2 linked regions of the Oryctolagus cuniculus genome follow. The protein of the gene in region 2 interacts with the protein of the main gene of each other region in a biochemical or structural test. Links are inferred from orthologs where the notes say so. Each region holds a gene or a part of one and is shown on either strand. Other genes may lie near its edges.

The links. The genes of interacting proteins can lie anywhere in the genome.
Region 1: of the proteins of USP33 (region 2) and ARRB2, one has a biochemical effect on the other in vitro, tested with the Homo sapiens proteins (2 studies listed by BioGRID, with this or other methods). The link is inferred for Oryctolagus cuniculus from reciprocal best matches to the Homo sapiens genes USP33 and ARRB2.

The regions. Positions count from the first base shown.
Region 1 is NC_091448.1:51,504,658-51,508,973, forward strand, and holds the start of ARRB2 (beta-arrestin-2), read right to left. Parts: upstream 2,808-4,316; 5' UTR 2,674-2,807; coding exon 2,651-2,673; intron 1-2,650. UniProt on the Homo sapiens protein: Functions in regulating agonist-mediated G-protein coupled receptor (GPCR) signaling by mediating both receptor desensitization and resensitization processes.
Region 2 is NC_091438.1:94,096,093-94,099,625, forward strand, and holds part of USP33 (ubiquitin carboxyl-terminal hydrolase 33), read left to right. Parts: intron 1-2,256; coding exon 2,257-2,302; intron 2,303-2,793; coding exon 2,794-2,974; intron 2,975-3,533. UniProt on the Homo sapiens protein: Deubiquitinating enzyme involved in various processes such as centrosome duplication, cellular migration and beta-2 adrenergic receptor/ADRB2 recycling.

The DNA.
Region 1 (4,316 bases), on a different chromosome or scaffold from region 2:
TTTATACACCCGGCAGCCCCTTGAAGCCGGTTGCTAGGGCAAACGCCCCTTCTCTTGTCCTAGGTCCACCCTCGCTAACCCCCCTCCCACCATGGGAATGGCTTCTGGCCGCTCCAGGAACCACCCAGGCTCTTCCCCAGGGGCCTTCCCGCGGGGGGCACTGAACGGGGAGGTTGTGGTTCCCTAAGACCTCACTGTCTTTCCATCTGGTCTCCAGCTCCACGGAGAGCTCGGCCTTGGCCTTTGTCCCGCCAAACAGTTCCTACCAGAGGCACTACCCAAGGCTGACCCCGCTCCCTGAACTACCGACCGGCCCTGTCTCTGGCCTCAACAGCTTCAGGTCCTATTTGTCTTTCAAGGCAAGCAGACGCAGTCCAGGCCCCAGACCCTCCAGTCTCAGGGTTCCTGTCACATCTTGTTTATGTTTCGCTTGCGGTGTGATAGCACCCAGAGCAGTTAGCGGTGCCTCCTCTGCCTCCCTCCTCGCCCTGCGAAGCCTCAGAGGCCTCGTTCACCTCGGCACACCCGGCGCGGCAGCCACCGCACGCTGCAGAGGGTGATTGTGGCTAACGTTTTCTGCGTGACTGTGCCGTGCTTGGCACCGTTCCAAGTGCGTGATCGCAGTTAGTACTCAACAGCCCAGTGGTGGGCCCCCAAGAGCCCTATTGTACGGGTTGGGGAAACTGAGGCAGGGAGCGGTCAACTACTTCGTCTAAGGTCACAGAGTAAAACAGAAGTCCGACACAAACTGAGGCAGGCTGGCTGTGGGTCTCAGCTCCCAACAGCTACACGGTTACACTGTCTATCTCTGTAGTGAGCACTGACAGTTTGTTGAGCCGAAGGGCATTTTTCTTCCCAGCTGCTGAAACTATCTAAGCCTCATCAGACTCTGGAAGGGGAGGGACGTGTCTGGCGACCCCTGCTCTGGCCACGTGTGGGCCTGTCCTTGGAAGCACCATCTAACTCCTTCTAGTCCATTCTGCTCGGCAGTGCCCGCTGGAAAGGGTCCCAGAGAGGAGAAACTGAAGGGCTGCCGCCTGGCCCTTCCCTCCTTCCCCTCCAGCACCCCGGTGTCTGCTCCAGGAACTCCACTTGCCCCTTCTCCCCAGTGCAAGCTGTCCAAAGGTCATATGGCAAAGGGCTTAGCAGCCCCTGAAGTTCCCCAGTCACTAAGCTGTCAATGAGGGGGCAGCCAGCATGAGCACCCTACCTTCTGCCCATCCTGGGTTGGGAGGGGGGGCTGACTGCTCTGGCATCATCCAGGCTCTCCCTCCCCTTTGCTTCTGGGTCCCCTCCTTGCCCCAGCGTTTCTACCCAGCAGGGGCGCTAATCAGTTGGCCAAGAGGAGTGTGGCTCTGGGGCAATTACCCTGGAGCACCTGCCCTTTGGATCCTAACCTGGCCCCCTCCTGCCAGGGCAGGGAGGAGCAGCGTGTGCGTGCTCAGGCCGCCCAGGGAGACAGTGTGGGGATGAGCAGGGAGGTGCCCGGTCAGGGTGGGGGGCAGTGAAGCAGATGCCCCTTCGCGCTTCCTGCTATTCTCTCCATTTCCTGTGGCCCAGAATTTGATGGGGGTGGAGGGAATTATGCCAAGTCAGCAGCCCTCCTTTGGCCCATCCGTCCCCCACTCCCTAAACCACATAACGGAAACTGGGGGCCTCCTCCAAGTCAGTGACTTCTCCCTTCTCTGAGGGTGCTTAGCCCCTAATCCAGGACACCCATCTTCCCTTGCTGCGCTGACCTCTCCCTGATAGTGGTCTACTCTACGCTCAGAAGCCGAAGCCTGGGTTCTCCTACTCAATGGGTGGGGTTGATGGGATCTTGTTTTGCAGTTCTAGTGACAGCTCAGGACCACTCATGAGCCCCTCCTGGTTGAGACAAACAGCCCCAACCTTTTCTTTTGCTCCTGCTCCCCTGGGGCCCCGGCATTCACTCCCTGCCCCCTTGGGGGTGTTGGGTCACAACAGGAAGTGGATTTTGGTAGAGACCAAAAAAGAGAACTCGGGGTGTCCGTGGAAGGAAGGAGCCTCAATTGCACAGAAAACATCCGGGGAGTGGATGCGTGGCTCGGGGCAGACCCTTCTCCCCCGCGCCCTGGGAAGGGACGCGGCGCCCAGCCTCGGGGAGGGTCGCCACGCACTCTGCTCCCTCAAGATGAAGCTGTTGCTCCTGGCAACCCACGGGAAGGCAGAAGTTTGGAAGCGGAGCCGCCCGGTCCTTGGGACAGGTGGGGGCAGCCCTTCTGCTGTAGGGTACTGGGCAGGTTTCCCTCGGGCTCCGCACGAGTCTAGAGGGGGAATCCCCTTCCCAGCATCCAGCCTCCTGGGACGCGACCCTTTGGGACCGGCCACCTGCTCCTGCTTCCTCCTACATCGCAGCCCGCACGCGAGAACCCCTACATCCCTGCGAGGACCCCCGAGGCCGGTTTCTGGTACCCTTCAGGCCTTGCTCTCTGCAAGGGCCCGTGCATGCGCCCCCACTCACCCCAGTACCCTCGAGGACCTAAGCGTGGGGCCCCGATGGCTGCCCCCTGGGGACCCAGGCGTCCAGCCCCCAGCTTTCCCTCCCCGGTGTCCTTGTTTGGAGACTATCTCGGCACCAGCCCCGAGCCGCAGCCACCCATATCCCGCCGCGCGGCCCCACCTCCCTTACCTGGTCCCCGGTTTCTCCCCCATGGTGCGCGCGCCCGCCGCCCGCCCGGTTCGGGGCTGGCTCGCAAGCCTTCTCGCCCGCTGCTAGGTCCTGCTCCTCCCCGCGCCACTGCGCACGCGCGTCCTCCGCTCTGTCTCCTCTTCCCCCTCCCCTGCGGGCCCCTCCTCCGGGCCTGGGGAACCGGGGCCAGATGCGTCAGCCGGATCGCGCGCGCCGGGCGCTCCCGCCCTCTCCTCACAGACTCGCGCGGTGATTGGCTCCGCCTCCACCCTCTGCGCTCCAGTCCCCAGGGGAGCCCTTCCCCCCGTGCGCGCGGTCCCTTCTCCCGCTTCTCCCGCCCATCTCCCCGCCCTTCCGCAGATCCCTGCAAGCGGATTGGGCCGCTCCAACGAGGCGCCCGCCCTTCAGGAGATTGCAGCCCTCGGATTGGCTCCTGGCATCCACAACCCAGTAGGGGTCTCCTCCCCTTTGTTTGCTTTCTCGGTGGAGATGGGGGCTGCCGGGGTGGTGGGGGCGGTGGAATGAACTCAAACAGTCTGGGCTGGAGGGTGAGGGGATGCACACGTGGGTGAGCCGTTCCAGTTGCATGATGCCTGCTAGGGTGCGCGCCGCTCCTCGGCTCATCCCAGAGCTTGCGGTTTCCTTAGGCCCGCCCTCCGGCTTTGTTGCGGTGTCTCAGCTCCCCCTGGTGTCTGTCTTGGATTTGTGCAGGGTTTCTAATGTCAACGTCTCCACCCGCCGGTCCCCGCTAACATCTATCCATCCATCATCCATCCATCCATCATCCATCCGTGCCCCCACACCCCGGCCCCATTTTGTGCCAGACGCTGAGCAGAGCCCTGGAGACACGCATGAGTGATCGCGGCCCCTGGCGTTCTGGTCCAGTCGAGGAACACGTGGACAGGTGTCATGAGTCCAGGAATGCTATAATAGAGGGCTGACTCAGAAGACAGAGCAGCTCACTGCGCTCGGCAGGCTGCCCAGAGGAAGGGAAATGTGAGGACGCCAATTCCGAAGAACGGGCACACGTTGAGCAAGGGCGTTCTGAAGGGAAAGCTAGGCGAGGCGAGGCGAGGCGAGGCGAGGCGAGGCGGGCACATCCTGTCCCGCAGGCAGAGGGGAAGACTGGGGCGGCGGGCCCGCCCCGCAGGAGGACACGTGGAACCCGGGCCGGTTTTTTAAAGCCGTGGAGTGTCACGATGAGAGTTCTGTTTTTGGAGATTAATCCTGGGCATTGCGGAGGGTAGGAGATGGCTGAGAGCGGGTGGGAGAAGAGGGGCCGGACTGGAGGATCATTTCTGGGGCTGTCACATTGGACCTCAGGGAGGATGATGGATGATTGACATTTCTGGGCTTAGGACTCTAAGGGATTTTTTTTTTTTTTTTTTGACAGAGTGGACAGTGAGAGAGAGAGAGAGACAGAGAGAGACAGAGAGAGAGAGAAAGGTCTTGCTTTACCATTGGTTCACCCCCACAGTGGCCGCAGCAGCGGCCGGCGCACGGCGCTGATCTGAAGCCAGGAAACAGGTGCTTCTCCTGGTCTCCCATGGGGTGCAGGACCAAACACTTGGGCCATCCTCCACTGCCCTCCCTGGCCACAGCAGAGAGCTGGACTGGAAGAGGAGCAACCGAGACAGAACCGGCGCCTCAAATGGGACTAGAACCC
Region 2 (3,533 bases):
CTCCCTTTTTGATTCTATCAGCTAGTATTTGCAGACACTAGTCTTGTTTATGTGATCCCTTTGGTTCTTAGCCCAATCATTATGATCAATTGTGAACAGAAATTGATCACTGGGACTAGTGAGATGGCATTGGTACATGCCACCTCGATGGGATTGAATTCGAATCCCCTGGTATGATTCTAACTCTACTGTTTGAGGTAAGTCAGCTTGAGCATGTCCCGAATTGCACATCTCTTCCCTCTCTTATTCCCACTCTTATATTTAACAGCGATCACTTTTCAGTTAAGTTTCAGCACTTAAGAAGAATTGTGTATTGATTACAGTATTCAACCAAAAGTATTAAGTAGAACAAACAAAAAAATACTAAAAGGGATAACATATTAAGCTGCTCATCAACAGTCAGGGTGAGGGCTGATCAAGTCACCGTTTCTCATAGTGTTCATTTCACTTTAACAGGTTTCCTTTTTGGTGCTCAGTTAGTTGTCAAAGAGTGTCAATTTGTTAAGTCAACAACAGGAGTCACTGTGCACTTATTCCTCATGTAGGATCTTTGTCCTTAGTGTGCTAAGAGATTTAATGCTATAACTAGTACTCCAACAGTATTTTTCACTTTATGTTTCTGTGTGGGAGCAAACTGTTGAAATCTTTACTTAATGTATGCTAAACTGATCTTCTGTATATAAAGAGAAACGAAAATGAATCTATATGTGAATGGAAGGGGAGAGGGAGTGGGAAAGGGGAGGGTTGCGGGTTGGAGGGACGTTATGGGGGGGAAGCCATTGTAATCTATAAGCTGTACTTTGGAAATTTATATTCATTAAATAAAAGTTAAAAAAAATATTAATTCAGACTTGCAAATCTCCTTGGTGGTAGTCAGAAAAAAGTTATTGGAGACTTGATAAAGATGGCTATTTTTTTAGGTAAATTGGAAAATTTTTCTGAATCTCTGCAATAGAAAAATAGTGGCTTCTAATAAAATACAGCATCTTAATACTACAGAATTTTGAGGCCAGTGTTGCCAGCATGCCATGTGACTGCTGGTTCAAGTCTCAGATGCTCCAGTTCTGAACCAGCTCCCTGCTAATGCCTGGGAAAGCAGCAGATGATGGCCCAAGTGCTTGGGCCCCTGCCACACAACATAGGAGACCCGGATGGAATTCCTAGCTCCTGGCTTTGGCTGTGGCAGCATTTTGAGGAGTAAACCAGTGGATAGCAGATTGATCTTTCTGTGTCTTTCCTTCTCTGTCTTTTAAGTAAGTAAGTAAAGTAAAAAAAAAAAAAGGAATAATAACAAAAAATACAGGCTTCTGGCTATTGGCAATAAACTCAGGAAAACAGTGTCCGCAGCTTTGAGTCCTTTACATAACAGAAAGGAATGATAACACAGTTTGACTAAACAAAAATGCTGCCTTGTACTTTGGAAAGATTTTATCGGTTTGTCCTTGAAGTCTTAGCTGATAGCTGAAGAGGGTACTGACCTGGAGAAAGATCCTTTCTTGTAAAGCATACTAGGAAAAAGATAATAGTGAAAATCCAAATCAAAAGTAGAGATTTGTCAGGTATTAATATTGATTATTAAGTCATCTTTTATATCAAGTTTTTCCCACTCCTTTTTTAAAAAGATTTATTTATTTGAAAGGCAGGGTTACAGAGAGGAGAGATAGCAAGATCTCCCATCTGCTGGTTCACTTACTAAATGCTTGCTTGTAAGAGCCTGGAGCTTCATTTAAGTCTTCCACAGGGGTGCAGTGGCCCAAGGACTTGGGCTATCTTCTGCTGCTTTTCCAGGCGTGTTAGCAGGGAGTGCGATCAGAAGTCGAGCAGCTGGAGCTTGAACCAGTGCCCACATGGGATGCTGACATTGCAGGCAACGGCCCAAAAGTGTTTTTTTTCCCACATTTAAGAATAAAAGTTTTAATATATTTATCTGAACTACAAATTTATAAAGTTAGAATTTTGCTTTATCCAGTTTTATTTAGTATCTGTTATAAAGCTATAGCCAAAATAAATAGGAGCACATTTGTTTCTCCAAAAAATGATTTTCATCAGCTGCCTTCAATTATATTACTGATATCTTTATATCAATTATTTTTGGCAATAAGGAACCCTAGTGTTTTATTATTTATGGTATAACATAATTCAGTAGTAAACATTTCTAGACTGATACCTTTTGTCTTTATTTTCTAAGAATTTTTATGTTATATTTAAAGATATTAAACTTCTTGTAGATTCATTGGTTTTCTTTTTCCCACCTAGATTAAGGAATGGAGTAAAATTTTGTAAAGTACAAAAATTTCCTGAGGTATGAACTTTATTTTAATTCAATTTGTTTTATGTGCTAAAGCATTAATATAACGCAGTGTAGAAATAAATTCTTTTAGCATGATTGAAAAATGGAATGGACTGTAAGAGCCCATAATGGTGTTCTCTGTTGAACATGATTTAAATAATGTAAGATCTTGCAAGAGTATAAAGAATAAAATTAGGAAAACAAATATCAGTATACTTAAAAGCAACATGTTTCACCGTTTCCACATTTTGAGCATTTCTGGACTCAGGTTGTAATTGCAGGTTAATGTTTAAACTTGAGACAATATCAGTTTTTAATAGACTTCTTTATCTAGCGGATAAAATTAAGTAAAATATTAGGTAATGTTACCTTTGTAAATTTATTTTGATTGAACAAGTTTCTTCTTGTAGAATGATAATGTTTATGTAGTAAGTTTTACCACTTGGAATGTTTTCAGTTTTTTCTAATGATAAATTAGGGTTTTGAATTTTGTTGTCTTTTAGATTTTATGCATCCACCTTAAAAGATTCAGACATGAACTGATGTTTTCCACCAAAATCAGCACTCATGTTTCATTTCCACTGGAAGGCCTGGATCTCCAGCCATTTCTTGCTAAGGATAGTCCAACTCAAATTGTGACTTACGATCTTTTGTCAGTCATTTGTCATCATGGAACTGCAAGTAGTAAGTACACAGCTCTAACTTTTGTTCTTAGATTAAATAGAAGTAAAACATATGAATTAATCTCTTATGTAAGACTTACCTGACCAGAATAAAAAATGTAAAAAGTTAAAAGCAAAAGATTTTACTGCTGTTTTTAAAAAACATGCCATATTTTCAGCTTAAAAAATATTAAACATTAATGGAGATGGAAATACTTTTTACCTTGATTTGATTAGTATACATTGTATACATATATTAAATTATCACATGGGCCTCATAAATATGTACACTTTTGTGTCAGTTTAAAACATTTGTGGATAAAAAAATCGCAGGTGAAAATTTGGTGCAGCAATTAAGCCACTGCTTGGGGTGACTGCATCCCATATTGGAGTGCCTGTGTTCAAGGCCCGAATCTGTTTCTGCATCTAACTTCCTGCTAACACACACTCTGAAAGTACTTAGATCCATGCCACACAGTAGACCCAGATGGAGTTCAGAGCTCCTGGCTTTGGCCTGGCCCAGTCCCAGGTGTTGCAGGCATTTGGGGGAATGCATCAACAGATGGAAGATCTTTCTTCTA